Linked DNA regions of Tribolium castaneum. The protein of the gene in region 3 purifies or fractionates together with the protein of the main gene of each other region. This does not show direct contact. Links are inferred from orthologs where the notes say so. Each region holds a gene or a part of one and is shown on either strand. Other genes may lie near its edges. The genes, in order: eIF2Bgamma, eIF2Bepsilon and eIF2Balpha.

Evidence for each region.
Region 1: the proteins of eIF2Balpha (region 3) and eIF2Bgamma purify together in Homo sapiens (affinity purification with mass spectrometry; 7 studies listed by BioGRID and IntAct, counting the BioPlex papers as one, with this or other methods). This does not show direct contact. The link is inferred for Tribolium castaneum from reciprocal best matches to the Homo sapiens genes EIF2B1 and EIF2B3.
Region 2: the proteins of eIF2Balpha (region 3) and eIF2Bepsilon purify together in Homo sapiens (affinity purification with mass spectrometry; 7 studies listed by BioGRID and IntAct, counting the BioPlex papers as one, with this or other methods). This does not show direct contact. The link is inferred for Tribolium castaneum from reciprocal best matches to the Homo sapiens genes EIF2B1 and EIF2B5.

The regions. Positions count from the first base shown.
Region 1 is NC_087395.1:21,886,661-21,897,924, forward strand, and holds eIF2Bgamma (translation initiation factor eIF2B subunit gamma), read left to right. Parts: upstream 1-5,742; 5' UTR 5,743-5,881; coding exon 5,882-6,038; intron 6,039-6,084; coding exon 6,085-6,902; intron 6,903-6,952; coding exon 6,953-7,182; intron 7,183-7,228; coding exon 7,229-7,385; 3' UTR 7,386-7,429; downstream 7,430-11,264. Other genes in the region: Unc-115a (actin-binding LIM protein 3), read left to right, coding at 662-759, 2,801-2,870, 3,173-3,213, 3,763-3,963, 4,014-4,127; transcription elongation factor 1 homolog, read right to left, coding at 5,211-5,343, 5,397-5,512; very long chain fatty acid elongase AAEL008004, read right to left, coding at 9,391-9,576, 9,627-9,946, 9,996-10,158. UniProt on the Homo sapiens protein: Acts as a component of the translation initiation factor 2B (eIF2B) complex, which catalyzes the exchange of GDP for GTP on the eukaryotic initiation factor 2 (eIF2) complex gamma subunit.
Region 2 is NC_087402.1:10,478,050-10,489,313, forward strand, and holds eIF2Bepsilon (translation initiation factor eIF2B subunit epsilon), read left to right. Parts: upstream 1-6,479; 5' UTR 6,480-6,559; coding exon 6,560-6,655; intron 6,656-6,700; coding exon 6,701-6,825; intron 6,826-6,872; coding exon 6,873-7,064; intron 7,065-7,117; coding exon 7,118-7,295; intron 7,296-7,349; coding exon 7,350-7,594; intron 7,595-9,812; coding exon 9,813-10,174; intron 10,175-10,221; coding exon 10,222-10,425; intron 10,426-10,471; coding exon 10,472-10,590; intron 10,591-10,645; coding exon 10,646-10,810; intron 10,811-10,856; coding exon 10,857-11,063; 3' UTR 11,064-11,128; downstream 11,129-11,264. Other genes in the region: arylsulfatase B, read left to right, coding at 1-899; zinc finger protein OZF, read left to right, coding at 4,603-4,746, 4,795-5,221, 5,273-5,944, 5,993-6,273. UniProt on the Homo sapiens protein: Acts as a component of the translation initiation factor 2B (eIF2B) complex, which catalyzes the exchange of GDP for GTP on eukaryotic initiation factor 2 (eIF2) gamma subunit.
Region 3 is NC_087400.1:172,539-182,917, reverse strand, and holds eIF2Balpha (translation initiation factor eIF2B subunit alpha), read left to right. Parts: upstream 1-4,148; 5' UTR 4,149-4,300; coding exon 4,301-4,313; intron 4,314-4,379; coding exon 4,380-4,481; intron 4,482-4,526; coding exon 4,527-4,666; intron 4,667-4,712; coding exon 4,713-4,829; intron 4,830-4,875; coding exon 4,876-4,988; intron 4,989-5,033; coding exon 5,034-5,178; intron 5,179-5,226; coding exon 5,227-5,352; intron 5,353-5,397; coding exon 5,398-5,556; 3' UTR 5,557-5,616; downstream 5,617-10,379. Other genes in the region: tyrosine-protein kinase Fer, read right to left, coding at 5,903-6,180, 6,228-6,350, 6,399-6,939, 8,384-8,581, 8,678-8,830, 8,885-9,071, 9,120-9,332, 9,396-9,533 and 2 more.

The DNA.
Region 1 (11,264 bases), on a different chromosome or scaffold from region 3:
ACAATTTTCTTATTTTAAATTAGGTGCGAGTGAGTGGGTGTTTTTTATGTAAATGTTCCGAGCACTTGGGGCGATCGGATGGTAATTGCAACACCCACGCACTTGTCATGAACTGTTTAACATTTAATTAGTTGATTGTCTGAAGAGTTTCGCTAATTTAAAGTAAGAAATCGGGACCTCAGGGGACGGTGTGAGAATGTGTAAAAAATTATTTACATAAAACGAATTGAGTTTTTAGCTTCAATTGGCAGGTAATTACTAGAAAGGTGAGAGGTGAATGTCGGGAAATTATTACGAATTCGTAATCTTAACAAATAAAACGTTCAGGCATGCGTCTGTTTCAGTTTTAAAACCAATTATTGTAACAAATTTTGCATGTTTTGCTTATAAATAGCCACGATTTTGTTTATGATTTTGCATTTTATTATTTTGCGTGTTGTACAGTAGTCTCATCATTGCGAAGTGTCCCTAGACCAGGTTACGGGTTAAAATCGTCGACACTGCCTGCTAGAAACGGATATGTAAGTAGTGAGTTAGTTTAGGGGACGTTTCCGAATTTTGATAAATTCGCAAACGTCGAAAACACACAACATGCGGTCTCACACGCTCTTCCATTTTCATTGTGTCATTTTTTGTGTATTTTCACTTTCCCTCTGCGCAGTTGTGAGCGCTCTGCGACATGTTCCTAAGCCGGGTTATGGTTTGGCGCCTCGATCTCATACATTCAGTTCATCGGCGGGTAGTTATCCGCAGATTCCTGTAAGTGCGACCCTAGGCATGCTTTCGTGATTGGTCGTTGTGCACGTCTGAAACTGTATCGGGTGCACGAAAAATCGGTTCAAACTTTATATCGCAGAAAAACGCGGTCAAAATTCACCACCTGTCTTAATTTTAATCGCGAATAGATTTTTTTTTAGCCTTCATTTTTCATTATTTGCTTATAAAATAACCGTTAACTACAATTAGATTATTTGAAAACTAAGTTCATGTAAAAAAATTTTAGAGAATATTATTCCTCATAAAATAATTTGTTAATAGTTATAAGGATAGTTGTTAGAATTAGTCAACTGTATTTTCAGAATGTTAAGTTTTCTACAGAAATAATGCTAAAGAATAATAAGAAAAATTGTGGATGTGTTTATAAAATAGTTTTGCAGAATAAAAATAATTTTACAGGAGAAAACTTTATAAAAAATTTGGAGACGGATTTAAAATAATCTAAAGAAAAGTCCTGATTTCAAATTTTCAAATTAAAGAAGAATTAAAGAAGAATCTTAAGAAAAACGTAGAGAAAGTGTAGAAAAAATTCTAAAGAATATAATCTTGAAAAAAACAAAAACAAACAAAGAATCGAAGAGAAATTTTTAAAAAATCTAGTACGGAGTACAGAAACGATGTGAAAAATAATCTAAAAATGATATCAAAAACCAAAAAAGAATTTTGAACAGATGCAAAGTCTAAAGTCTAAAAGACAATTTGAAGAATGTAGAAAATTGTAGAAGCATTTATTAAATAATTTTGCTTTTTTGATTAAAAAGTAATTTTAAAGAAGAAAACTTTATAAAAAATCTGTAGACGAATTTAAAATAATCTAAACAAAAATCCAGATCTCAAACTCAAAAAAAATTTGAGAATAATTTTAAGAAAAATCTAGGGAAGAGTAGGTAGAGAAACAATGTTAAATAGTAATTTAGGAAAATTCTAAATGAAAATATAAAAGAATTTCGAGAAGACGCAGACTAATATCTAAAAGGGAAATTGTAGAGTGTAGAAGAAAGAAGTGGTTATAAAGGAATTTTGAATACCGCCTGCAGTATACTATTTGACGTGGTTTACACATGTTGCTATGTCGTAACCAAATATATATTATTATTACAAAATAATTCAAAAAATTTAAACACACCTAAAAAATTCAGAGAATAATCTTAAGAAAAATATAGAGAAAGTACAGAAATAATACTAAAGAATAATTAAAAAATTCTAAACGAAACGGATTTTGAAAAGGCTCAGTCTAAAAGAGACTTAGGAGAGTGGAAAGAAATGTTTATAAAATAATTTTGAGTAGAGTTCAGAAAATCATAGTAAAGCGGCATCTCAAGAATTTATAAGAAAATCTGGAGATGGATGTATAAAAAAACAGGAACAATTTAAAGAAAAGTTCAGATTTCCGATCTTTAAAAAAAATCAAAGAAGATTAAAAAAAATCTTAGAAACAATACTTAAGAATAATTAGAAAGACTTTTACAAAAACGGGGACAAGAGTCTTATTAGCTTACTGTTACAACATTGCAAAATTGTCAGATATTCAAAAATATTAATTTTGCACTACATGCTCTAAACCTATAAGTAATTGAAAAAGAACTTCTCCTTTATTTTGATAATGAAATTTTGAAGTGATTTAAATTGTTTTTGGTTATTGTATCATAAATCAACTGATAAATTCTACTAAAAAAAGAAGAAATATTCGTATACTAATGAAACTAGCTGTTGTATTTTCGGAATTTTTTTCTGTCACTCGTAAGACTTTCACGTTGGTTCCTTCCTTAAGGTTTAGAAAATTGGTATTTTTTCGAACACCCGATATTTGTGAATTCGTCATGTCACTTGATTTGTCTAAAGCTTCACCCTTCATATGAAGGTTTTTCATGTTTTTCCCTCAACTGGTTAAATTTTCGTGTCTCGTTCTCTAGCTTAGTCATGTCGTCCTGTCATCCTGTATTTATTCATCGCATGTTTTGTGTGTTTCTAATCCCTCGAAAATCGGGAAATTCGGATGTTTAATTACGTTCCTCCTTCACAGGGCGATTATTCGTTTAGCGGAATGGGTGCAAAAACCCATAGCACTGACTTCAGTTGTGGAAAATCCGACAGTAAGTATTTCATCGTTTATCAGTAGAAACTGGCTTTTAAGCGGCTTTTTGACACATTTTCTGAAATTTTTACGCACCGAAAACTCGGGTGACTTTGGTGGGATCGAGAGAAAAGTTTTAACAATTTTTTTTGAGTAATACGCTGCTTACTTCTCTTTGGTTGTTTTTCAAAACCGTATTGCTTATTATGCATGATTTGCGTCCGAAATCGATCGAAACGATTGTACCGAACGAAATTCTAGGCTAGTTTTTCCAATACATATTTTATAAGCTAGAATGTTAAGTTAATGCTTTTTCTTCAGTTTCCACTGGATCCATCACGGATGTTGAAAGACGTGCTCTGGTATGTAAATAATGCTTTATCTAACTTTTCTGTGTAACGCTCCAAATAACGGCTTCTTAATTTTCAAGCGTTTTGTTCTGTGATAATACACTTTTTCTCGTTTTTTATTATTTGCCTTTAGTTAGTTTGGGGTCAAGGTAAAATAATCTTTGGTTGAGGTTACATCCAGCAACAAAACAGTTTTATAGCCACATTTTCACCAAACTTTTCACCACGAAATTGTTTAAATACAGTTTCTTACAACCAACTAAAAAAATTTAAAAGTAATTATTTTTGAGTGACTGTGGTAGCCTGTGGTTTAAGTTTTTGTGTTTTCTGTCTCTATTTTATTTAGTCTTGTCATCTTATATTCAGGCACGATATGCAAAAAAAAGTAAATTAACTGTTACAATTTTTTGTTCATATTTCCGGTGAAATTTTGGGGGTGAGTCAAGGAAGCGTTCTGCTTGTCTTGGGGCTCCCCCTGTGCATAATTTGTTGCTTTTCCGGTTAGTTGTATTGGTGGTGGCGCAGTTTTCGGTTTTTGTTCGTAACTGTGTTGTGTGCTAGAATTCCGAAATGCCCGTGTCGGCGACTTACATGGGGGCCCTGGGGCGCTACCCGGGCGGGTACTCATCACAAGTGCGACGGTCCCTTCCAAACATGGCCCACACGATGCTGATAAACGAACCGGCCAAAATCTACCCTTACCACTTGCTTGTGATCACTAATTACAGACTGCCTTCTGATGTCGACAGATGCAATCTTGAGGTAAAATACTTTTTCCGATTTTGTGACCAGATGATTGGAATTTTTTGTAGCGACATCTGTCGGACGCCGAGTTCGAGGCGATTTTCCAAGTCTCGCGGACCGACTTCTACCGACTACCCCAATGGCGCAGGAACGAACTAAAACGTAGAGCTCGCTTGTTTTAAACTCTTCATGTGCTACTAGATGCTGCTTGAGTGCTAAACCACCACGCTAAGGCTGCTATACACTGCGATGTGTAACTGGTTTTCTTTGAGTGTTCCTTGATTCATTTACCGACTGGATCATTCTTCGCCATAGTTTAAGTTGACAAGGTTTCTGCGAAATGTGCTAGAGTAGCTCTTGGTTTCCTTACGGATTATTCCAACTAGATAAAAAACAATATTTTTCTACTGATTTGAACTATTATAATCTGTATTGTATTGGTGAAAAAGAGTATCTTGGAAGATTCAACAATTTTTTAATCATAGGACAAATTGGCTATATTCAGAGATTGATATTTTTTCTATAGGATAAGTGTATAACTAGGTAGTGCTAAGATAGTTGAAAGTTATTTATAAAAACGGCATTTAGATTGCTTTAATTATTGCTTTGGGCTAGTCGTATATTCTTTTGTACATTTGTTAGTGCTGTCAAGGACTTTGTGGTACCTTTTATTTCTGGTATATTGTTTTAAACCCAAATTCATTTTCATGAGTGTTTCTATTGTTACAAATTATTTATTTATTCTCATAAAATAACGATTTTAAAGCTTTAGGTATCTAAGATTTGTTAATAATTGCTCTGATAAATAAAAAACTTTTAAATACGACTTGTTTACTTTTTATAGCCACTCGTTTAAGACATTTTTTACCACCACCCATAATATTAAATGGGCAAACGCCTGAAATTTTGACACATCGACTTGAATTATTTTTTCACTCCAAAACCGAGACCGATACAAAATTTTTATGTTACAAATTGTTCAAAAGAACTGGGTCTTTCAAATAAAAAAAATTAGACCACTCGATTAACGTGTAACAAAAATATTCATTTTCATAGTTGTTTCAATTGTTACAAATTATATTTATTCTCATAAAATAACGATAACGCTTTAGGTGTCTAAGATTTCTTGTTAATTGATCTGATGAATAAAAAACTTTTAAATATGACTTATTTACTTTTAAAACCACTCGTTCAATACATTTTTTCCTAGACTGATATAATAAAAAAGTGTTATTTGTACCTAATAAAACATTTACATAAAAACCTCAGTTAGCAGATTCACATGCATCTATCCAATCGTTGTACACATCCACAGGCTCTGATAAAAAATTGATAGTAGTTTGGAAGTCTTCAAGACACACTCGGCACGTTATCCTGGCCGTATTTCGACCCTTATCCCTACAAACACACACATTACCCCATAAAACCCAACGGTTTATAAAAACAATCACATTTTAACATCGCACGATTTTTCGTGGTTGCAAAAAGGGCAGTTGAACTGCTGGTCCAGGGGCTCCACAGCTTTGCGTTTCGGCGCCGGTTTTCGCTTCGACTTGCGGCGCCCCATCACAAGACACTAAATTACACACAAAAAAAGTTTTCAACACAAGTTGGCCCCAAAATTTACAAAAAAACCGACCCGACCAAAATAAACAGTTTTTGCGCAAAGTTGACGTGTGACAGTAACACCAACGTGGTGGCAAAAACTGAGACAATTTGAGCGTAATTGCGAGCTTAATTAATATCACCGGGTATTAAGTTCCGACCGTGTTCACGATTCAGTCTTGAGGAATGCGCTAAAGTTTTATAAGGGGCTCAAATGAATTATTTTTATTTAGCGTAACAATTTGTTATGTTGGTGCCTCTGTCATTGGTGTGATATAACCACACATTTGTTGCAAAGTTTTGTGACATATTTTTGTGTGTTTTTGCAAGAATGTTTCAGCCCGAGTTCCAGGCCGTGGTCCTGGCGGCCGGCCGGGGCTCCCGCATGCCCGAGATCACCTCCGGCAAGCCCAAGTGTCTGCTGCCCGTGGGGACGAAGCCCCTCGTTTGGTACCCCTTGTACAAGCTGCAGCAGTCCGGTTTCACAGGTACGTGCGCTGGCCGTTCGAAATCTCATAATTACCAGACTTTTAGACGTAATTCTTGTCGTGTTAGAGAATCACAAAAGCGAGATTCAGGCCACGCTTGACAAAAGCGAGCTTGAGATCAAAATCGACTACTTCCCCGTTAGCGGGAAGGAGGACTTAGGCACCGCCGACTCCCTCAGACTCCTCCATGACCGGCTAAAGTCCGACGTTCTTGTAATTTCGTGCGACTTTATCACTGATTTTAGCCTAAAAGGCGTTTTGGACGTGTTCCGAATGCACGATGCCTCGGTCGCGTCTTTGTTCTTCCACCCTCACGGGGGCGAATTAACAATCCCGGGCCCCAAGTCCAAACACAAGCCGGAGCGCGATTTGGTCGGGATTGACGCGCAAACAAACCGTTTGGTGTTTTTAGCGTCCGCGAGCGATTTCGAGAGCGAATTATCGCTACCGCGCTCTTTGCTCAAGAAACACACTCATGTTAAAATGTACAGCAATTTGGTCGACTCGCACGTGTACGTTTTGAAAAACTGGGTGGTCAAATATTTGAACAGCCAGCCGAACTTTACAACAATCAAGGGCGAGCTCTTGCCCCACATTGTCAAAAAACAGCTCTCCAAGCCCCCGAAAGGGGCCGAGGGCAAGTCAATAGTCAGTAAATGCGACAGCGAGGACATTTTTAATTACGCGAAAGAGGACCCTTTCAGTATTATTATAAGGGAGTCCTCGTCCTACAACGACCATATCGGTGACTCCAAACCCACGTATCACGGTGATAGCATCCGGTGCTACGCCTTGATAGCCCCCCGAGACTCGTTCGGGGTGCGAGTCAACACTTTAGCGACGTACTGGGCCGTTAATAGCAAAGTACGTGGTAGTTCGCCCGTTGTGAGCCCCCTTGAGAGTGTGCGTTGCAGGTCAGCGAAAGGTGGGACAAAATCACAAATGGGCTAAGCCTCGTCCTCAGACACCCCAAAAGTGAGATTAAATCGAGCCAAGTGGACGATAAGTGTGTTGTTTGGGAGGGAGCCAAACTGCACGAGAAAACCTCGTTTAAGAACTCGGTTATTGGGGCTAACAGTGAAGTTTGCAGTTTTTCGAGGGTTTTTAATTGCATTGTTATGAATAATGTGACGATTAAGGAGAAGTGAGTGGGTTTCCATTGTGTGGCCTGTGTGGCAATTGTGTTTCAGGGTGGCGTTGGAGAATTGTATAGTTTCGGATGGAGTGACGATCGAGAAGGGGTGTCAGATTAAGGGCTGCTTGATCGGCAGTCACCACTTAGTGCCCGAAAATTCGGAACATAGTCAAGAGGTGCTCACGGATTCGGACCGCTTGATGGAATTCTAATTTTTATTTTTGTACATAATTTACGAATAAAATACAAATGTGAACTACTTGGTTTTTTTCGGTTTCGTAAGCAAAAAATCGTCTATTTGCTAATTGATTCTGTGGTTAAAATTTGGCAAATAGCAGGCGAAAAGTGCTAAAATATTCGGCAAGTTTTTACGATGTCTATTTAGCGAAATTCTCGAAATCCATTCGGGTAAAGTTAATTTTGGGTTTTACGTATGTTGATGGTCGGCAAAGTTCATAAATGCGTCATCGAATTCTGGAAATATCTGCATTTGCTTTCGATCGATATTAAAGGAGCTAATATTCGAGATTTTGTGTTCGGTGAAATGGAATCCTTTACGTATTCACTTTTTTGCACAAAAAATAAGACGATAAGAGTTTGCAAATTTTCCTCAATCTTAGTACAAAAAATGAAGAACACGCTTAATTAACGACCTGAGTTGCGAATAGAAACGGTGACGGTGCAGTAGTTGCCAAAAATAAGTACTTTTTCACATTTTCAAAATATTTATAAAGGTCCGTTTTGGAGAAATTATTGGAAGAAAATATAATTTAATTAAAAAAAAGTGTAAGTCAGAAAATAGTAAAATAAATACGAGTGCATAGTACTAAGAATATTAATTTATTATGCTAATAACTCGAATACTAATACTAATAGAAAAAAAAATAAAAATAATATATGTTTGAAAGAGGTTCAAACTATAATTTTTTGTTCATGGATGTAGACAATTAATTTACTCGCATGGATTATTACAAATCCTTGTTTCTCACTAGCAAGTTGATAAAAACAAATCAAGAATTATTTCTAAAATACTTGCAGAACTTAAATTATACTTCTGAAAATTAAAGCTTTTACGAAAATTTAAAATTATTACTTATTACTTATTACTTATGGTACAATGTGAATAACGACGAATTTATGCACTTAAAAAAAGTTTAGTTTTTGAGTGGATAAAATTTTTGTATTTACATAAATTATACGTACAACATTTTTTACAATTCCTATTAATAAAAATGACACCCGCCTGGATTAAAGTTTAATTCTGTTTCTGTAAATAGATCATGAACATTATTAAAACAATAGTTTTGGCAAAAGTTAGAGAAAAATGAAACAAAACAATGAATACAATGTTAATTTTTTTATTTTGTGCGTGCTGTAAATAACAGTGTGAATAAAAGTTTTGCTGTAAACATTCAATTCATTCTTTCGATTCATTTTATTTGTCCTTTTGATTAAATTATTGTATTGATAATAAGATTTAATATGTAAAATGAGCATTTTATTAATAGAAGCTGGAAAAAACTTATTATTTTCATATTTTTTTAAATTTAAATACGTTGTTTATATTTTTATGTGCTCACTGTGTTCGCTCGTGTTCTAAACAATTCTCGTGTTGTGTTTAGCGATTTTTTTTGGATTGGGGAAAGGAGAGGGAGAGAAACTCCGTTTGCAAAACGCAGGTTTCCACTTTATTTCTCAAGATTCATAAGTATATACAAAAATACTATACAACTTTAAATCTAAAGAAACGCGTAGTATGTATTATATACAATGATAATAAAACGACATTAATTACAGTGATACAGCTTCCATTACACTTACTTATCTGAAAAGACGTAGAGAGCCGCCGAATTTACGCAGCAGAGTGCAACTCCCTGAATAAAAAACATCCGATAAATTATACGAAAACGTAATAAAACATTCTTAAGTACGAACAACCGGCAACGATTCAAAGTGCAAAACTTTAACAATAAGCTAAAGCTAAGAAACGTGGTAAAAATTCAGGCACTAATGGCTGATGAAATGAAAAAATCAAGCGACTTGACGCAATGAAAATGGTCCCTGCAGCCGTAAAAACTTATATAATACATCAAGTAAAAAGAAACCAATTATTTCGCCCTGAGATACGAAATTTTGACAACAAATCGTACACTATCTAATAAATAAGTCTACAATTAAACAAAAGTCGAGTCCTTTTGTACCCACTGAAATTAAAACCTAGTTGATCTTCTTCGAGTTGCGCTCTATTACGGTTTGGCTCACAAAGCCGTTTGTGCTGCCGTTCGAGTAGCAAGCTTTGTACGAATCGGAATACTCGCTTTTGATGTAAGTGTTGTTAAGAGTGCCGTTACTGTCGGACTTCGTAACCGTTCCGTTTTGCTGCTTCTCATCCTCGAGGACCGGCTGCAACAACTTATCACTCACAAAGAACCGAATGCCATCAATTAACTCACCATGCAAGCGCCGCTATTGCTCTTCACAGCCTTGTTGTTGGTGTACCTAACTTTGTAAAAATCGGAGAACAGGAATAAGAACATGACACCGTGCAAAGCGATCCAAATCATGAAGCTCTTCGGGTAATTGCACTCGGTGAAGAGCAGCTGGAACTGGTGGGTGAAAATCGCCACAAACTGCACCATCTGGAACGTGGTCAGGTATTTCTTCCACCAGATGTATTTCTGGTACTGGGGCCCCATGGCCGCCACCATGTAGTAGAAATACATGATGATGTGCACGAATGTGTTGAGCAAGGCGAAGAACGTGCTGTGGCCACCTAAACGTTTCAGTCAAATTTGGAACAGCAGGAAAAATTAAGTATTCACCTGGCGCGAATTTCATCCCCATCCAGACCGAAAACGGCATGCAGCCGTGGTGGATGACATGGAGAGTAGACACGTGGCTATTTTTCTTCCGCAAAATGAAAAATAGAGTGTCGAAAAATTCGGTGAACTTCGAAAAGTAGTACCACCAGCAGGTCCGCGCCATCTGCGGGAAAAATCGCCAACGTTAGCGTGATTTCGACGAAAAACATGACTCACTCGACGTCTTCCGATTTATTATCGATTTTATCATCAATATTTCTAATCTGTTATATCGAGTTTTATATTTTGTATATATTTTTTTGTTAATATGTGAAATAAACCAACAAAATACGAGATAATTCCAGTCAAAAAAACTACTTTTCTTTCCTAATTTTACATATTTTGGATGAAATACTTAAGTGAAGTCATTAAAATTCGGTTTAAGGCCGGTTTGCAAAAAATTGCAATTAAATTTTCATTCGTCATTCAGATTCAATTTAATTCTGAATTAAATTACATTGAAATAAATAAAATACACAGTCAAAGGCCTTTTTGGCAGCGACCAACAGAATGACATTTGAAAAAAAAGTTTATGTGAAATTATTTTGGGAAACTGAAAAAATTCATTAAGGCCCTAACAAGTGATTGTCGGTTCACTATTTTTTTGCAATCGAAGGTCCTTGAGAAAAGCTTTGTTTTCGGCAAAAATGAGGAAAATCACGACACGCGATGGCACTTGAAAAAAAAGTTTGTACTGTGAAGACATTTTAAATAATAAAAAATAAAATCTGTTTTATCGTTTTTTATATTTTGTATATTTTTTTTTGTTAATATGTGAAATAAATCAACAAAAAACGAAATAATTCCAGTCAAAATACCTACTTTTCTTTCCTAATTTAATTCTGGATTAAATTAAATTGAAATAAATAAAATACACAGTCAAAGGCCTTTTTGGCAGCGACCAACAGAATGACATTTGAAAAAAAAGTTAATGTGAAATTATTTTGAGAAACTGAAAAAATTCATTAAGGCCCTAACAAGTGATTGTCGGTTCACTATTTTTTTGCAATCGAAGGTCCTTGAGAAAAGCTTTGTTTTCGGCAAAAATGAGGGAAATCACGACACGCGATGGCACTTGAAAAAAAAAGTTTATACTGTGAAGACATTTTAAATAATAAAAAATAAAATCTGTTTTATCGTTATTTATATTTTGTATATTTTTTTGTTAATATGTGAAATAAATCAACAAAATACGAAATAAATCCAGTCAAAATACCTACTTTTCTTTCC
Region 2 (11,264 bases), on a different chromosome or scaffold from region 3:
CCGAACTACCGAAAATGGACGGGGTTGACATGTGGGCCTCCATTTCCGAAGGGAAAGACAGCCCCCGGACTGAACTCTTACACAACATTGACGAAATTTACAATTATGGGGCACTTAGAGTCGGGAATTGGAAGTATCTCTACGGATCCACCACAAATGGTAAAAGTGATGGTTGGTATGGGTCTTCAGGTCGTGACCCCCTTTACACTTACGATGATAGCGCCGTTTTGGCCTCACAGACCGGCTCGACACTTGCCGGTCTTACAACCTACCAACAAATCAAGGAAAAACACCAAGGTGACACTAATTTCACACACAAACTGCTCGACAGTGAGACGATCAAGACCCTTCGGGGCGCAGCCGAAGTCAAGTGTCCGCGAGTCAATTTTGAGGAAATCCCCGAAAGTAAGAAATGTAACGCAGTCGAGTCCCCTTGTCTCTTTAACATCAAGGAAGATCCCTGCGAACAAATCAATTTAGCGGCCGAACGTCCCATGATTGTCCTGAACATGGAAATGGCATTAGCCCGATTCAAACAAACGGCTCTACCCATCAGAAACGTCCCAAGAGACCCTAATGCGGACCCCGCCAAGTGGAACAACACTTGGGTCAATTGGCAAGACTACGAAGACGTGAAAAAGCAGAAAATTTACTTCAATACGTTGTCACCGCTGGCGATTGGCTTAATTTCCGCAGCGGTTGTTGCCTTTGTTGTCGTTATAATTATCCTGGTGACTATCACAGTGAAGAGTTCTTTGGATAAGAAAAAGGCCGGGAAAGCGTTTTTCGACGATCCCATGGAGCAAATGATGACGATGGCGCCGAAACCACAAATTTTCGAAGACAGGGAATTGCAAAATAGGGAGAGTATCAGAAATGAGTTTAGGACGGTGGAATAGGAAACAAGCGGCTTTTCGAGAGAAAAGCTCGTTCTTGTTTCGATTGTGATCAAAGAGCTTTGGGGGTTTCTTATAGAAATGTCCACAAGCAAGTAGGGTTAAATTATTGTAAATATTTATTTTAATTTAGAATGAAAATAAATTTATTAAAAAAAAATCGCCTTTTACTTGCTCATCTGGTCAAAGGAATTGTTTCAAATGGCGCAAAACATGCAAAAAAGTAAACTCTGATTTTATTTGCGGTTCGTTTCGTATATTCCCAAATTAACATGCTCTAGGACTTAAAGGGTTATAATTTTTTTATTGAAAAATTCAATATGCCTCTTTCACCGAAGCAGGTTCAGGTTTTATATAATATAATATAAATATAATATAAATTGAAAGTATTGGAAAAATGTTATGTCTCATTAAATGTACCTTTGAAAACTCTACAAAATCGCATATGCTTCAACAGTGGCGCAGCCAGAGACAGTTTATGAGGGGTTTACCTGCATAAAAATATATTTTCACTATAGACACTAATAACAGTAATAACCACACAAAAATGAAAAATAAACGTTTCCTATTAAATATGTTGCTCTGAACACAATGATGTGTTTTAGAATTTTTCTACGATTCCTTACTTACTTTAAATTGATTAATTAATTAATTAAGATGTCGCGCAGTTTTTTTCCGAGATGTTCGGTGTAAAAATAATGTAAAAAAATTGTCTCAAGTTTAAGTTTATTTGTGGCCCGGCGACCTTGATGCTTTTCGCGCATTTAAGAAAATCGCGATTTTTAATTAAATAAAAATTCTTTACATTTTACACGCCTGACTGTACATTGGAAAGGCATATCTCATATTTTCTGGTATTTTTTTATTTACAGACAAAAACAAAAATTAAAAAAATTATTTTCGTCTAAAAAGTCTAATTCTGAATTTTATTCTAATAACTACGCGTATCCATTTCAGATAGGTAATTGTTACGAAATTAGCGAAAAAGAATAGCAGTCAGATTTTGAATTAAACGCTCTTTTACGTTTTAACTTTAAAAATTATTTTTATCTATTACTTGTGGCTTCGTAATTTTAAATTTAAATGTGAAATGTAATTATTGGAGTAAGTTTGTAAAAAACTGCGTTGGAATTGTTGCGATATTGAATGTAGGCATCAGTTTTTGTCAAATTTATTGCGAGACTGTAATTAATGCGCTTAAAAAAGGTCGGCTACTGGTAAGTGATCTCCTTGTTAGCAAATTATACCATTTTCTAATAAATCAGGCGTATAGTTTGCGTTTAAATAAAAAAGACCGATTATTTAACCAACCAAGTAAAAATTTGTAATTGTGATACCAGGGTTTGATCTGCTGGCAGGATTCACTTAGTGTAATAATTTTATAGTTAAATTAAGAACTTTATTTATTTAAAAAATTACAATAATAATATAAATTCTAGGAAATAGAAAAAGACTAATGTTTACATGGGTTGTCTCAAAAAATTTATTTTAGTTTTATTATTACTACTAAAATCATTTTGCTTTTTCTACTGGGTTTCAAAGTGATATCTCGTGATATCTCAAAAAAAAAATTGCAATTTTCAAACGACGATTATGACGAAAATAGACTAGGAGAAATAATACTCTTATTCCATCGTAAAAAGCGCCATCAAAATCTATAAAAATAGATGTTTTATTTTCAATCGATTGTAGGCCAATTTCAAAATCGGTCATTTCAGTGTTTAAAAATTTTTCCTTTTTTTTAAATTTTTTTATTTACATCAAAACTTTTTAAAAAAATGGAACTATTTTGATATAAACCATGTAGAATAAATAAAATGCACCGAGAATCGATTAGCGTCAAGCAAATTGCACAATTCATAATAGTCTTTAAGTTATCAACGCATAAATATAATCTATTTATGCATTTGTTAGCACTTTCTTCGAAAACTACTATTAGCCAGAAAATAATGATCTTTTAAAAAAAAGATAATTAAATCATTTAAGAACCAAAGATAATAAGTTTAATGGGGTTACTTCTAATAGTTCCGGAGTTATCACCAGATAAATGCTCCGGAAAGGTATATGAGAAACTATAAATCAACCAAAATCTCGACAAAAATTAGAAAAGTCATCAAAACTTGTCAAATGTATTCTATTAATGTTTTCTTGCACTTTTAAGACCTCTAGAACTTTGGACCAGCGAGTAAAAAGTTTCAAAAATTCAAGTGTTTGAAAAAACAATAGGATGGTTTAAAAACTATGTGAATGCCATAAACGGCATAAATATGCACCACAAAAAATTATAGGTAATGTAATTTATACAATGTATTTTTAAATGATTCTCATCTAGTCGTCTGTAAATTTCTCATGTAAAATCAGAAAATTCCGCTTCATAGAACTAATGATAGGGATTTAGACATCGAATATTACCGTTCTCCATTTATTAAGTTTTAAATTCAGAAATAAGATTCTATAATGAAAGTGTTTTCTTGTACAGTGTAACAATTTAATTGCATTTTACCAATTTTTTTTCATAACTGACAGATTTGACATTTATTGACAGAGGATTCAATTTTTTTAAATGTTAACCAATTTCAAAGTTGAATCATTGAAACACACATTGTAGTTTCAATGAGAGATCTAATCATTAATAACTACAATTCGGTTCACTTTCATAAAAACCATTGTGGTGGAAATTAGGTACTCTTGGCATTAACTTTTATATGAGTTGTTATAGTAACAAGTTAGTCAGTTCCACCAAAAATAGTTTTTATCAAAGTGAACCCAAAGTAATTTACATTTTTATCAACCTCATTAAAAAAATTATTTGGTAAAATGCGACATTGGCATTTACATAGTTCTGAAACAGATAATAAGTAAAATAAACCGTAAAATTCTCTGGAAGAAGCTAAATATTAACAAAAAATTGTTTACTCTTAGGTAAACCATAAAGGCTTAAGGCGTTTTGTTATTCTTCTCTGAACGGTTGGAAGAAAAATAATAAAATCTTCTCGGTTAAAATTTTGTGAACTACTGGTTTAAGGGGTTTGCTTACCTGCATACTGACATACGCTGGCTGCATAACGACAGCCCTCTCGAACCTCGAACTTTATAAGCTTGTGTTTAAACTCTTATATAACTCGTACCTATTATTAATAACTATTTCACCACTTTCTTTGAGTTTTTCACAATTTTTTAACACAAACGGACGGAAAATAAAAAACCTGACGCGACCCGAGCAAAATTACACTACTACCAACCCTTAAAACCAAAAGCTTTTTTGTTATTTACTTTCTCGAAGAGCCTTTGTTTTAAAATATAAATAACTTGTTTGGGTATTTCTGCAAAAGAAGCACTAAACGTAAACTTTAATTACTCTCATGATTATAAAACTGTGGAAATAGCTGAAAGCACAGTTGAAATGAAACTGAACAACCCCGACAACAGCACCACCAACCCTTTAGACTAAAAAATTATTATAAGTATTTATTTATATTATTAGGCAAAAATATTTTGTCTGGATATCAATGCATGATTTTTTGAAGATAAGATATTATTTTTATAATTGTCTAAATTTTATTTTAGGTTTATTATATGCAACCAATAATACATCCATGTGACCAACAGTTTTGTGACAGCTGTGACCCACCTTTGTTTATGTGTCTTAAATGGGGGCTTATTCAGCTTAAAATAGCGAAAGTTGGGTTTCATTTGAAGTAAGATCATGTCAGACCCAGATTCTGTGAAATTTGTAACAGATTTCAATAAAATTTGCCGGACATGTCTTTCAGAAAAAAATAAGGAAGATTTGTGTTCTCTATTTGATAATTCTCTTGATGTGATTCTTACAAATTTAGCTGAAATAAATGTAAACAACCATTTAGAAATAAACAGGCAATGAAATAATCAATTTTAGGTTAGAAGGGACGACGGTTTGCCCGGTTTTATATGTAACGACTGCATTTTCACTTTAAATTTATTTATAAGTTTTAAAGAGCAATGCCAGAAGGCAGAGTCCCAACTGAGGAAAGCTCTGTACACTACGCCGGAGATTTACGGCGAGTACAAAACTGTAACAGTATTAGGTGACAACATTTCCACTATTATTGAATTCAAGAATGACTCTGTGTTAGACAATCGCGACAAAATCATAACAGTGAGCATAAATGAGCCCCAAATTGTAAATAGCGACTTGCAAATCGATAATCCAGTTACAACGGACCCCCTGAAATGCCCCAAATGCGAGCGTTCTTTCAAACTTGAATCCACTCTAAAAACCCATTTACTAAAACACGAAAAAAACCAAAAACTGAAGTGTGAAATTTGTAATAAAGAGTTTAATCGTGAGTGAATGTATCACGTTTGATACAAAAAACCCAATTAATTTTTTCTAGTGGTTACACAATTCAAACATCACGTGCGCACCCACACCAATTACAAACCCTTTTCTTGCTCAAAATGCGACAAATCATTCGCATTATCGTCAAGCTTGACTAAACACATGCGAACACATGGCGGCGAACGCAAACACTTGTGTATCACCTGCGGGAAGCGGTTTTTCGAACCGGGCCACCTTAACGTAAGTAGCACCTTCGGTACTTCCCCCATAACGCGCCCATTCAAGATTCACATGCGGACACACACCGGGGAAAAACCGGTTATTTGTAACAAGTGTGGTAAGAGATTTACAGACCCACACGGGCTCATAGCCCACAACAAAATCCACACCGGCGAACGCAAATACGAATGCAACACTTGTGGGAAAAAATTCGCACATTCTTTCGTGCTTAAGGCGCATAAAAGGGTCCACACCGGGGAAAAACCGTACGCTTGCACTATGTGCAAGGCCGCCTTTGCGACGTCCTCGTACTTAACGATTCACAAAAGGACGCACACGCAAGAACGGCCCTACAAGTGCGAATGTTGCAGTAAGGCTTTTATCAGTCGGTGTGCTTTAGTAGCACACATGAGGACACACACAGGGGAGAAGAAATTCCAGTGTTCGGTTTGTGGTAAACGCACAGGGCGGGCCGCTGATTTACAGATACATATGAGGTCACACACTGGTAAATCCCCAACTGTGGTTTGACTAATAACAATTCGGGTTTTTTTAGGGGAAAAACCCTACAGTTGTGACTTGTGCCCGAAAAAATACCACACTTCGAGTAACTTAGCGGCGCATAAAAGGACACATCTGGGGGTCAAAAACCACTTTTGCGCCGTTTGTAGCAAGGCTTTTGGCGACTTGAGGACCCTTAAGTGTCACATGAGGATACACACGGGGGAAAGACCGTACATTTGCGGGGTGTGCGGCAATAGGTACACCCAGTCGGGACAATTGGCCGCACATAGACGCACGCATGATGTTTACATTGATGTAAATACTGTTACGTAAATAAATCACTGAAAACGACTGGAATATTTATTTAGGGAAGCCCCCCGATCACGCGCCCCCTGGTGGCGGCGTCGGTAATTAACAAATCGCCAAAATTTTGAATTTTGATCAATGTAATGTGAAAAAGCCGCAGAAAAATATTTTGGTAACACCAGGCGATAGGGTTTCGAGCTCTGCTCCGAAAATGCAAACAAATCGCTAAAAAAAGTGCGCCCTCTTGCGTCACTTGTTGTCAGTCGAGTTTGTGACTGGTGCTAACCTAAAAAATCAAAATTTTTAATTAAAAATGTCGATTAAGAGCAAAGACGATATTATTCAAGCCGTGGTTGTTGCTGATACTTTTGGAGATGAGTTTTTGCCACTTTCGTCCGACATCCCTCTGGTACGCTAAAAGAAAGATGATGCAATCGTTGATTTTTTTCTTTAGGCACTTTTCCCTCTAATTAACAGACCTTTGATTGATTATACTTTGGAGTTTCTGTCTCTGGGAGGCATAGAAGAGACCTTTTTGTTCTGTTGTTCACACACAGACGCTATAAAAGCCCACATAAAGTAGGGATACGCCCCAGTCTGTGCTCTCTTAATTCTTGTGTTTTCAGTCAGAGTGTTAAAGACAAGGCAGGATGGAGTCTCACGATGAAAGTCAATGTTATCGTATCGGAAAGTTGCCACTCGTTTGGCGATTGTTTGAGGGATTTGGACAGGAAGGGGATTTTGAGAGGGAATTTTGTTTTGTTGGAACCCGGGACTTTATCCAATATTAAATTGTTGCCAATTGTTAAGAAACATAAGTAAAGGTGTTAGACTTGTGTTAGGTACTTTTCCCTATAATTTGTGCTTGCAGTGAGGTTGCTAATAAGGACAAGGGGGCTGCTATGACTGTAATTTACCAGGAGGCGGGGATTGGGCAAATGGGGCGCGACTTGAACGAAGAAGTCGTCGTTGCTGTCAATAATAACAATCGGGTTTTATTTCATAGAAAATTGGGGCAAAGCAGAGACAGAAAAATTGAATTTCCTTTAGTACGTCCTAACTTGTCCAAATTTTTTTTTTTTTTCTAAAAATTATAATTACAGGAAATTTTTCTGGAAAATTCAAACGTGTCGCTACATCACAACCTCAAAGACACACATATTGCAATTTGTTCTCCGTCAGTTTTGCCTCTCTTTTCCGACAATTTTGACTTTCAGTCTAAAGACGATTTTGTCAAGGGTTTACTAATGAATGAGGAAATCCTCGGGAGTACGGTGTATTGTCACGTGACGAAAGGCAGTCACTTTGGAGGGGCTATTACCAACTGGCGGATGTATCAAGCAATAAGGTATTTTTTCAATACAGAGGATTAAAATATGAGGTGATAGGTGCAGTATGAAAGTATTAAAAAAGTAATTAATTCACCACATCCGAGCTGATTTAGATTATTCGAATAAAAAATAGGAAAACGTTTGGAAAAGTTATTAATGCCCAAAATTCACACATTTTTGCGTTAAGTTTAAATTAACGAAAAACAAGTTAGCTCGTTCTAACTCGTTTCACCTCATACTTTTAGTTTTCCGTATTTAAAATAGAGCGAATTTGCTAAAAGTATTTTTTACTACTAGCTGTTTTAAAACTATAAAAACGCCAACGTCGCATTTTTTCTTAAAATTAGCTGTTATAATATAAATTATTTCTGTACTTATAAAGAATAATAGCTAATGTAGTCTATACTTTCAATGAGAGATCTAATCATTAATAACTATTTTACAATTTTATCAATCTTCTTAAAAAAATAATTCGGTCAAAGTTGGCGTTTTTATAGTTCTGAAACAGCTATTATATTTCAAAAATTAATAGACGCACAGTATTCAGAATTTGGTATTAACTGTGGTTTTAAATTATATTGTTCAATATGCAGTGTTTTTTTGAGAATTTTTCTTGTGATTAATATTAATTAGTAATTAAAAATATTAATTAATTGAAATTGATTTGTAATGTTATTCGCTCTCACCTAAATACGTTTATTATGGGATCAGTAGTATTTTTTTACCAGTTTTTTGCCCAAAATAACATTTAAGCATTGCTTGCTTTAAAATAACAAGAAATAATATTTTTGTGCGACTTAATTCATTAATTAATTTTAATTATAAGGAACTGTAGAAAATTCTGAAAAAAAAACAGATGCAAAGAGAAACATACAGAGTGAGTTTACGGTGAAGCATAAAATTTCACACCTTGCTACGGCTTATTCAAAAAAAATTAAATAAAATCGTCAAACAGGTTTTTTTATAAATACTACACTTTCATTTTACCTCGTAATTTATGACGTCACTATTCTTTGAGAAGTTACGTTTTTTTTAATAAGAACTGACATTTTTATGTTGAGTTTTTTATAGTATGCTCCTTTATTTTTCTGGTAGGTACAAAAAAATCAAAAAAAAAGAAAATAATAAATAAAGAAAAAAGAAGTTAAAAAGGGTTAATTATAAATAATAATAAAAGCGGTCGCCTCTTACAAAATAAGGTAATAGCAAAAATATTAGACCTTTTGCGTGAGATTATAAAAAATAGATTTAATTTTTTTTATTAAGCCATTCCATATTAATGTACGGAACACTACAGAAATTTTTTGATTTTATTTTTAGTTTTTATGAACATTATCAGCAGAAGTAAATTTTTCTTTACAGGAGCTTAGTACCAGTCCAACTGTTTGTGACTTTCATACGTTTGTGAAATTTGAAATACAAGGTAACGACTTCTGATTAATTTACTTTCTGTTTACACATGACGGACGCAACAAAAGAATCATGTGTGTAAAAATAGCTCTAAAAAAATTATTCAGGCAGGTTTTAATTATTAAAAACTTCAACAATATCAAAGTTACACAGTGGAAATTAAAAATTATTGGTTTTGTTTAACGACGTAAGAAATAAGAACATTTATATGCTTCTAATAATGAACGAGACATCAAAATATACGAAGATATAAAAGTAATATTACTATTCAATTTACTTACCGATTTTCATTTTCTAAACTTCCAGAAACTAGAAAAACACTCAAAAATTATTCACAACTGTTGTTGTACTTCAGCTGTCAACAGTATTTTATGTTATCGCCTACAAGGTATGTAAATTTTAGAACCCACTGAATTACTTCAATTTATATTATTATCCTCTCCCATTTTAAATCCATAACAAAAAAACTCTCGTCGCAAAATACATAAATATAAATCGAATCGTGTATTTTGAAAGAAGCTTTAAATACTAAAATTATTTTGGAAATTTCGGTGTCAGTTTGTATTTTTTCTGGAATGGCTGTATTATTTCTTACTATTAAAAATAAATAAAATTGACGTCATTACTCAAAAACCAATGACATCATAAATGTTGCTATGGTGTCAAAATTGATTTTTTTTTTTGAAACTGACCCATAACAGAGATGTAAATTTTATGCGTTATTTTCAACTCACTTTGTCCTATAATCCTATAAAGTGTTTAATAATACCAAAAGCTGATTTCTGTGTAATTCGTAATTGTTGACGTACAGCAATAAATTTTTAGCCACGAACTACAAAACAAATGGATTTACCCGTTACAACCTCCGGCTTTGAAAGCCCACAACTTGAAAAACGGTGTCGTAACAGGCGACAAAGTCGTACTAAATGACAACAAAAAAATTGCAAATAGTATTATAGGCGATAACGTAACAATAGGCAAAAATGTACAAATTGAGCACAGTTTTATTCTCTCTAATACGAAAATTGCGGACAATGTTATAATCACTCATAGCGTAATAGGACCAAACTGCCACATTAAAGCAAATAGTCGGATCACTGCTTCAAGTATTATCGGAAAAGACGTGGTAATCGAAAACGAACAATTTATTGAAAATAGTCTCGTCCAATCAACTCAACCAGAAAATTGTACGTTTTTTCCTGTGGCTTTCCCCGACTGAATTATTTATTTTAAGGCGAGGAGAAAGACAAATTAGGCAAAAAAGCATTTAGGCTGAAACTTGAGACCGACGATGACGATTTGGGTGCGTTATCTCGGAAATTATCGCAGCTACATATCGGGGATTCCCCTGTTGAAGAATCAGAAGATGAAGCTTTCACAGACAGTGAAGATGAAGAATTGAGTTATACTCAATCCCCAGTCCCCGACGATACAAAATGTAAGCCTCAAAACCCCCTGTCTTAGTCTCACTCACCTTCTTCTAGTGTTCTTCACTGAAGTGATAGACAGCTTAACACGAGGTTTTGAAGATGAATTACGTTGCGAGAATTTAATTCTCGAAATAAATTCCTCACGTTATGCTTATAACGTCACAGTTAAGGAGGTAATTGATTTTCAAAAGCTCAATTCTAAATTTTTTTTGATGGTCCAATTTTTAGGTAAATTTCAACGTCATCAAAGCTATTTTAATTATGTCGTTGAGATTTCCTATTGGAGCTCAGTATTTCTCTCAGTTTGTGCGTTTATTGTCATTCTTTGCTCCGATCCTGAAGAATTACATACGCAATGAGGGGGCCATGCTGGACTGTTTGCAAGCAATTGAAGTAACTATTTCCAAGTCGTTGAGCTTGGTTTAATCACGACTTTCAGGATGTCGCAATTTCGAACGAAAATGTTAACGAAAAATGGGTCATGTTCACCATGAAATGGTTCTATGATAAGGATTTTGTCACCGAGGATGTGATAATGGAGTGGTCCAAAAGTTTAGATACGAAAAGTCGGTTTTATGGGCAAGTCAAGCCGTTCATTGAGTGGCTGGAGGAGGCAGAAGAGGCTTCCTCATCCGAAGATGATTAAAAAAAAATAAAAAAGTGTATTTTTAGGCATGACCCCAGGTATTTATTAAAATCGTTAAAAAAATATTTTAAATTAAATTTCTAACCACAGTGACCTGTGAATTTGACAGTTGCCAACTTAATTTCAAAATCATAGGCCACTGTGATTAGTTATTTATTTTATTTAATCATCACAAAATTGGCTAAAATCGAGCTCAATCCT
Region 3 (10,379 bases):
AGAACAAGATCCACTTATTTCAATACACTTTCTTCTTCCGTTTATTGTCATGATTTAACTATAACCTTAAAATAATTTTTGATGACACATCGTGTTACCTTGCAGGTACAGTAAAAATATTTCACTTATGATAATTAATTGATGACGCAAAAAGCCTCGTTTAGATGTACATAAACAAAATTTTAAACCGTTGTTGTTGCGCGAGAAATCTACGTTTTGCAATAATACCAACCTTACGAAATTATGGCAATACGAGTCAGTGTGTCCTATAATTATTATTTTGCTTTCATTCACAAAAAAAATAATAAAATGAGGAATGAGGGGAAAAAGAATACACGTGGAGTGTGTGTATGTATAACGAGCTTTCTTTTTTCGGTAATTGAATGTGCAAGAGACGGCGTAAACTAGGTCACCCGGTATACATTATTCAAGGTCATCGCTTTCGAACGAGAAGGAAATTCTTATTTAATACCATTTGGTAATTTCGTATCATTTTCACATTACTTTTTACATTAAAAAAATGGCGGCCAGTGGTCATATTGAGATTTTTATACAGAAATGTTTCTTTGACAAACTGCAAAAATAACTGTGGTTAGTTAGAAATTTTCTCCAATGTTAAAGTACTTGAAGTTGTCCAAGTCTAAAAATTTTCAGAAAATCTTAAATATCTCGAAAACGGTTAAACTTAGGTAGAGGGAAAACTGACAAAAACGGCCTTGAAATAACTCAACTAATCAAAAAACGCAGTAAAAACGTAACTTTTTAAAATAAGAAAGTTTTTAGCGACTTCCGATATAACCGGAAGTGCCGTCATCTTGAAAATATTTTCACTGAGCAGAACTCAACGGATTTTAGCCAAGTACCAACTTTCAGATAAATAGTTCTTTATTAGAACTTGTAATAATATGAAATGTTTAAACAAAGGTTTAGCAAAAAAACAAGGATTGCTTAGTTTTTGACATGTCAAAAGTCAACGATTGCTTTGTTTCACATTAATTCAAACAACAAAAACAAATGTTTTTGACACAAAGACATCGAAATTAAAAATAATTGAAAAAAATGGCCACAACGTCGCCATTTTCCCCCCACGTGACCTGCAAAAATAGACAAATCACGTTTACTCACAAACGAGCCAAAAACCCCGAGACACATCTAATTACATATACAGTCTTGCCAACCTTCCGAACGGCAAGGTCACACATCAAAGGCCACAAACCCCAACGTCTTCCGGATATTTACCCGTAAAAAAAACGCACGTGTATGCGTTCTAATGTCACTAACCTTTCAAGGGCGGAATATTTTTTTTTTCATAATTATTATTACCGTTATTACTATTTTTGGCACATCGTAGAACAAGAAAGGACAAAAGTACAGCCAAGTGAACAATTATTTGACGTGACGTCACGACAACGCTACGTCATTCCAAAACAAAAACGAATCACAAGAAACGTGATTCATTTGTCATTCAATCGGGTTCAAATTCGAAAGATAACAGCTATCATTGATGACGTCACAACAAAGTTTTTCACCCCGATCTAGTTGGCATTTCCGTCGCCACCCTATTATTTTATTATTAATCCCACTCACCTGTCACGGCATTCGTTTTATTTATTTTTCTCCCAAACAACAAAACGAAAAAAATGCAACCCCTTAGCTGCAGCTATTCATTCACTTGTTATTATTTAGTCACCAATTTTATAAAAAAAATAATGGATAATAACACACACTAGATAACAATTGTGAAAGAACACTCCGCGTATTTTACCACACGCCAAGCCTACTCGATTTCTACACTTCCAACGCACGACTGACGTCGTTCACGTCCCTAGATCGCTAAAATCAAATCGTTTGCGCAACTCGTCCAACACGTGCCAACCTAACGACCAATAATGTGCAAGAGAAAGACAACAAATGAATGAGACACATATACAATATGGCCGACTAGGTTGGAAAGTTGCCGAGTCAAGTGTTGACTGTATTTAAAACGGTGCGCAAAAACACATTATTTTTATTTTTCCACGACTTGCTTAGACCAAAAATTCGCCCCCTGAAAACGAAACAAACGAACGTACAAGGTCAATGGACGCGGTCTACTAGATCAACAAACGCGGAGATTATTTTTAAAATGCCTATACTTCCGGGTTTTTTGTCATGACAGGTGTATATCTCGTTTTTTTTGGTCAAATTCATTGATTCTTTGTCTCGGAATTTAAGTAACGTGTCGAAAAATAACGATGACCTTCGGATGCACGACGACCTTCTCCACGTTGTTCGTTGTCTGTCAGCTGATGGGTGCGCAAAAATCGAGAAAATCGTTTTTTGCGTTCTCGACAACATCAAGACAACGATTTATTGTGAATATTTTCTACGTTTTTTTAAATTTGACAATATTTAAGCAGTTTATAATCAATTCCTTTGATATAAAATTTCTGGGTGGAGATTGTCATTTTTAAGGGTGTAGCCAATTTGAAAAACAACAAAAGGGGTGGAGCTACTTCGAAGCATAACAAAAATTTACTATCATTTGACAATCCTGAAAGTACAAAAATAACAGTGGATAATTTTTTTAATGCAAAATATTCAGGCTGATCCTTTTTTTGTGATTTTTTTCAAAAATTTAAGAGATGGTACCGGACGTGTTGATAACAGTCACCATTTTGATAAAATCATACTAGGTTTGAATATTGACAATTGACAATTTTGAAAATTCTAGTAAGCTTGAAATTTGTTGTTATTTAGATGTGGGCGGAGCTTCTATTTAAAGGTGGCGTTAAATGTAAACGACTAGTTCGTAGAAATAAAAAACACAAGTCATGGCCCATTTTTTATAAAAAGTACGAATTTAAATAAGCCCCACCCACTAGTTTAAATTCAATCAACACGTGACCAACCAAACTCCGCCTCCACATTTTGACAACCGTCCAATGCGAAAAACCAGCAAAAAAAACAAAAATATTTATTATTTACATTAACACGTGCATGCATTAAAACGCATTTTCGTTATTATTTTTTTGGTGGCGACGAACTTTGACTTTAACCTTCGACGACGCGTCCAAATTTACCCCCGCTCCCCTAGCACACGCGTTCATTGACCTCGAAAACCCCATCTTCCCCTATTTATAAAGGGGTGCATAATTCGACCTTGCGGCCCAATTATTCACAGGACCGGACCCAAATCGATAATACAGGACCGTATTTGAATCGATAACGGCGGCGGTGGAGGCGGTTTCACTCTCGCCGCCGCCACCGTTTTAAAGGGGATGAGACGCGACGCTTATCGATCGGGGGGCGGTCTTGCCGCCCCCCAAAAATATCATTCAAACACTCACCATACTAGATGATGCGAAGAAAGTTGGTGGTGTTCACACCTGAAAAAAAAAATTATTTTTTTTGAGTCATAGTAGGCTTGTATGCAAGTCACGTGATTTTGACATGTCGTTAATTAGCGAAAGCGCAGTTTTTGCCAAAATCTCAAGGTTTTTCGAAAGCGCGTCAAGGCTACCAACCGAAAAAAAAATCGATCAAATTCATTTGTTTACTCCGGAAATTGAGAACGTGCCAAAAATCCCCCAACAAAAATAAAAATATCCACGTCAATCATAATTAATCGCACGATACGGGCTTAAAAATGGGGGAAAACCGCCCCATACAGCCCCCTTTTAGCGGTGGTGCAGTCTCAAGGGGGCCCATCGCCTACTAACAATGAAGCAGAAAGTAACTGTACTAAGGAAAATGGCGACAGACAATTATCGAACTTGGCCCAACATATTGCGCAAATTTCGGCCAAAAGGGGGCTCCCAGGGCCCCAATTTCATAACAAGGGGGCACAAAGACATGCAAAGAGGGCTTTATACTCACATAAAGGTAATTTTAGGCCAAAATAATCCAAAAAAAACTGAACGATGACAGGGCAATCCACATCAACTACACAATTGATAAAGTTGGTCTGGTAATGACACGTGACCGGAATGAAGCCCGCGGATTGGTTGGCCGAAAAATGTTGCTAAAGCGACATCTACAAGCGAATTTAAAACGACCCCCATAATTTAATTCGGGCATGTTTTTTTAAACCAAACGTTATACTAAGTGTATAAACAAAGACCCAATAAATCAAACACACACATTGTTTTTATTTTGGTGGTGTAAGACACGGCGGGCGTGACTCTAACCACTGCCAAGACCACGTCGGTAAGGCAGTGACCAGTCAAGCGAAAAGGGAGGTTAAGTCAATTGTTTAATTTTGAAAATAAACACAATTGTGACAATAATTTGGCTTTAAGGCCACGTTATTTACATAATAATGGATAAGCAAGGTACGAATGTTACACTTTTGCAAAGTTTTGGGCGTTTTCAAGTCACATATGTGGCCCTTTTTTTAGAAGTTAAGGCCTTTTTCGACAAAACAATCGCCGAAAATGAGGACCTGTCGGTGGGGGTTGTTGCGATAATGACCCTCATGAAAATCATCGAAAAATATCAAGGTTAAAATAAATAAAACGCCACAAAAACCTAACCTCACTTTTCAGACAATACGGTTCAGGGCCTTGACGAGAACCTAAAACTGGGCATTTTGGCAATAAAAACGTCCGACTATCCCGTCACCGCGATAAATTCCGGTTGCGAACTTTTTATGCGCTTCATAACGTTGGCAAAACTTGACTACAATGTAATAGAAAAAAATTTAATTATCACCCAAGTAAATGAAATTTTAGAGTTTTGAGCAATGTCGTAACGTTATGCTCGAACGTGGCAACATTTTCCTAAACAGATTGAAACAATGCCGTGCCAAAATCGTGAAACTGGCCACAAAATTCATAGCTGACGGTTCTGTAAGTTTCAAGGTCGTGGGTGTGTAAACCCCCCATTTTTTTGTAGAAAGTCCTCACACATTCACGGTCACGTGTCGTGCTTCAAACTTTGATTGAGGCGTCACGTCAAGGCAAACAATTCGAGGTTTACGTCACGAAATCCGCGCCTGATAACAGCGGGTAAATCCCCGATTTTGTACGATTTGGCTTGACGTCACGTTGCAGGGACGTCATGTGCAAAAATCTGACTAGTGTGGGAATCCCCTGTACGTTGATTCTCGACTCTGCGATTGGTTATGTGATGGAACAGGTTGATTTTGTCATGGTGGGGGCCGAGGGGGTTGTGGAAAGTGGGGGGATTGTTAATAAAGTAAAAATAACACTATTGGTTTGATTTTGGTTAATTTCGTTTTGTAAGGTTGGTAGTTACACTATGGCCGTTTGTGCTAAAGAAATGAAAAAACCCTTCTATGTTCTGACGGAGAGTTTTAAATTTTCGCGCCTGTTTCCACTAAATCAGGGGGATTTACCGCCGGAGTATAAGGTAGGAAGGCGTAAAAATAATTAGGGTTAAGTGTTGGTATTACAGTACTCTGCAAGTGCGCGTCAACTTGATGAGAGGGATTTTAAGAAAATTCATCCCTTAGTGGATTACACGCCCCCGTTTTACATCACTCTATTGTTCACCGATTTGGGGATTTTGACTCCGAGCGCCGTCAGCGACGAATTAATCAAATTGTACTTGTAATAAATTTAATAAATTGACAGTTTGTGGCTAAGGTTACCCCACCAAATTTTTTAAAATTTATTGATTTTAAATTATTACCTGTAACAAAATCTAAAAGTTTTTTGGCACTAGAGTCACGCTAACTACAGGCACCTCATTCAATTATTTTCCAATTGAAAAAACCGGGTTTGTGGTTAAGGTTGGTCGCCCCTGGGCGCCTTTCCACGGTGATAAGATAGCGCGCCATTTAAATAAAACGTTTATTCAAAAGTCAGTCAAACTTTTTACAATAAAATACAAGTTATAAAATGTTTATCAACGTCACAATCACAGTAATTATAGCACACTTGATATTGGCAATCTCTGATCACAGGAATGACACTCTATAGGCGGCACATAGTGTTTCCACAACTGTATAAATTTGCTCAAAATTGGGCCTATTTTCCGGCTTATATTCCCAACATCTCAGCATTAAACGGTACATTTCGTCGGGTGTGTTATCAGGTGCCGGCATTCGATAACCGGCGTCGATTTTTTCCCGCGCTTTTGAGTTGCTCAAACCACTGTAGGGGGTTCCCCCACGTGAGAAAATCTCCCAACAGAGAATACCGTAACTCCAGACGTCGCAAAGCGACGTGTATTTGCCTAAAAGTGGAAATGTGACTGCGACTTTGTAAAATTGGGGGAATTACCGAAATTGAGTGCTTCAGGGGCCGTCCATTTGATGGGAATTTGCTTCATGCCGTCGGAAACGATATATTCCTCCTCCTCGCGTGACATTCCAAAGTCGGAGATTTTAACCACGTTGTTGTAACCTGAAAAATGGGTAAAACCCCGATTTTTTACACAGTGCCCTGACTTACCGACTAGGCAATTCCTCGCGGCTAAATCCCGATGAATGCAGTTTTTCGATTCGAGATAACGCATTCCAGCTGCCGCGTCCAAGCACATTTTCATCAATTGTGCGTCTGTGAGTGCGGTTTTTTTCCGGAGGAAAGTGAGCAGGGAACCCCCGGGGACCAGCTCCATGACGATCATGATTGGTTGTTTTTGTACGCAAATCCCAATCAGTTTAACGATGTTTGGATGGTCGTACTGCTTGAGAATTCGGCCCTCTTGAAGGAACTTTTTCTTGTGGTCTTCTGGAAGTGTCACTCTGCAGGTTTTGACAGCAACGACGTCGTTGCTGTTCTTAAGTTGCGCCCGATAGACGTCTCCGAAATTTCCGCGACCGATTTTGTCCAATAAGACGACATCATCATTGTTTAGTTCCCAGCGCTCGCGCGGGATTGGCTTATAGAGGAGCGCCCCCGAACGTCCCGTGACCGGCAAGCCGCTCGTGTATTGGTAGAGGATGAGGTCACGGATGCTGGGGAAGGCAGGGCCTTCGAAACGATAATGGCCCTGGAAAAAAGATTTTTTTTTTGGTGGTGTTGATTAATTTTGTTCGCCCAAAGTATGAGTTGGGGGAATTTGCTTTTTTGGCGGTTTGGAGGCTTTGGGATGGCCCACCTGTCGCGAAAAAATCGTTCAGATATTGTGACTAGAAGTGTGCCAAAAAAATTGTTTTTTGGAGGCGTTCACTTGTACACAAATGACCGAATTAAAAAATTCATAATTCTGAAATGCGAGGCTCTAAATGTTTGCTTTTTTAGCTCTTTGTAGGTACGGGTCTTGTCTACAATTCGTACAAGTTTTGTCGAAAAATCTCAATTAGGAAATTTTTAAAAAATTTGTAAAGTCGTAACTGCAGGATTGAAAGAAATCGAGTTTGTGGAATATTGTATTTTGATAATTTAAACTCGGATTTTAACGCCCCTTTGGAATTTTATAGTTTGTGTCATTATCTACCAACACCTGTAATTACATTTAAATAGAATATAAAAAAATATCAGAAAGAATATCAAAAAAAAATTGAAAAACCAAAAAAAAATAAATAATCAAAAAAATTATAAATCAAAAAAAAATAAAACAAATTTAAAAAAATTAAAAAATCCCTAACAAATCCCAAAAATCCCCCAAAAATACAAAAAAATCTCTAAAACTCCCCAAAAATTCCGTTGTTTTTTTTATGAATTTTTGGAAACGGATAGGGCCCCAAGTGGACGATCTTTGGTAAAAATTTCCTTGGGCAAAAAAAATATTTTGGAAATTATGCACAAGTATAGACAATGTAACTTCCTTCGCTTTCAAGGTCAAATCACACTTGAGAAAATCAAAAAATAGCAAAAAAAAATAGCAAAAAAATAGCAAAAAAAATAGCAAAAAAATAGCAAAAAAAATAGCAAAAAAAATAGCAAAAAAAATATCAAAAAAAAAAATATCAAAAAAAAAAATATCAAAAAAAAGTATCAAAAAAAATATCAAAAAAATAAAAAAAATATCAAAAAAAATAAAAAAAACAAAAAAAATATTTAAAAAACATCAAAAAAATATGAAAAAAAATATATCAAAAAAATTACGCACAAGTATAGATAATGTAACTTTCTTCGCTTTTAAGGCCAAATCACACTTGAAAAAATCAAAAAAATATCAAAAAAAAATAAAAAATTCCCAAAAAAATTTCAAATCCCCAAAAATTCCTAAAAAAAACCCGAAAAACTCAGTGGTGGATAATGAACCGTTAATTGTAAATCTGCGATAATTACAACCCAACTTGAATTGTGTCAAAGTTAAATTTTTTTGTATCAACAAAGTTAAAAAATTCATAACTCCAAAACTACGAAAGGTACAGACTTGTAATTTTGGCAGTTAAGACAGCTGACTTAATTCAACGATTGGTGCAAATCCGTCAATCACACAACCCATACTTTGGTGCCAAATTCAAAAACTCTCAAAATCCACTCACCTCAGCTGTAGTTTGCACAATAAAGTGCTTATGTCCTCCCCAGCAAACCGACAGCACCGTTTGACATTCATCATTTCGGGTAGTTTCCCTAACAAGAAAATCGCCATCTTGTGTCAACAACCGCACAACTTCCTCCCGCGGAAGCACGCCATGAAACCACTCCTCATCCACCAATGACTTATTCGTCGTCATGGAAACCTAAATATTACGATTAAAAAGACACGCCCCTTTTCGCCAGTCAATCAGCCAATCAGTGTTAGTAGAAAGGAAAATGTTAGTCAAGCCACCACCTACAGGATCGCCCCCTTCACTCCTGGGGGCGGAGTCCCTCCTCCCCTTGGTACGTGGGGGCGCCACCGGCGACGCGGGCGCCGATTTTCGCCGAAACGGCTTACGAAAAATACCGACAAATTGCGTGAATGACCGTTTCGTGTCAATTGTGCCAACCTACAACCGCTAAATGTTCCCAACACCAGAAAAATTACTAAAATCACCACCTACTTGTTCGGCGGAATTTGTTATAAAAGTCGTCTGATTGTCAATTGATAAATCACAACCAGACGGTACTTCTTCACACCCTAACTCGTTCAAGGCACTCTTGATCAGTTCGGTTTGTTTCAACATTTTCCTCTCCTGACATTTGAGTTCGTTTAATTCTTTTTTGGAGGTTTCGGCCACGCTTGCCAACCTACAAAATGCATTTAGTGATTGTTGGGGGATTTGGGTGAAGGCACACCTGCCGGTATTTTCAGGGGGTTTCCCGTTTTCGGTCAAGTTGTTGCGTTTCTCCTGGTTTTCCTTAATACTGGCTTCTAGTTCGGTTAGTTTGTTACGCAGCCATTCCACGGTTAAATTATCGACGGTTAGTTGGTTTGGGAGCAATTTTCCGGCGCTGTCTTCGACCAGACTCTCGTCAAATGTGAATTTGACCGGTTCAGTGGGTGTGGTTCTAAAAAATCGGGGCAAAAATTCAAATTTTTTGGCGCGAAATTGAAATTTTCAAATCAATTACTTGTGTTTTTCGGTGAAGTCTTTGTATTCCTCGCTTGGTTTGATGGTTTCAAGGCTGGTCTCGATTTTTTTTTGTATTTCCCGGAACTTTTCGGAGGTACAGTCGGACGCCGTTACAATGTCTTGTAAAATTTGCTTCCTGGGGTGGTAAAAAATTTTGTTTTTTTTTTTTTTGGTGGGAGATTCACTCACCAAGCTGTGATGAAAGCCTCCTGGAGGGACTGTTGGTGTTCCAAAAGTCCGGGCAGTAAAACCGTCCGGAAATCTTTCTCAAATTCCACGGCTTCACACAAAAGTAGGACGTATTCGTTGTGTGTCAGATGTAGTTTTCGGCAAGCTTTCTGGTATTTATCTCTAACGTCGTCTAATTTTCGGCCGCCTCGTCCGGCTGTAAAGTTAAATTTGTTTTTTCGGGTTTTTTCTATTTTTAGAGCTTGGCGCTCATTTCAAGGTTCTTTCACTTTGGACTACTTACATTTGACGTAGTGTTCCTCGAATCGCGAGCGCATCAATTTGTACAGTTCGAGGTACTTCTGGTATTCGGATTTTTTACGGTTCACTTCGTCCGATAACTGGAAATTAGAAGAAAAAAAATTGCAATCTGATACTTTACGAATTTTTTTCTCCGAAAGTTAGAGGTTGCGGGTTTTGCCCTTTTGCCACCTTGGTGGCCTTGTTGTGGTCCACTTGACGTAAAAAAATTATTCAAATATCTAGACGAGAAATGTACGGAAAAAAATTTTTTTTTGGATTTGCAATTTTCAAAAATTCAAGTACTACAAAAATTCGTATTTTCGGAACGGACAAATTGCAACGTTTGCCCTTTTGGCATTTTATTTACTCTGGTTATGACTACAACTCCTGCAAGTTTCGTGAAAAAATCTCGATTAGGAAATATTTAAAAAAAAATTGTAACGTCGCTGATAATTTGAAAAAGACGAAAATTATCGGATGACATTTTACGATTTTTTTGTTCCGAAAGTGA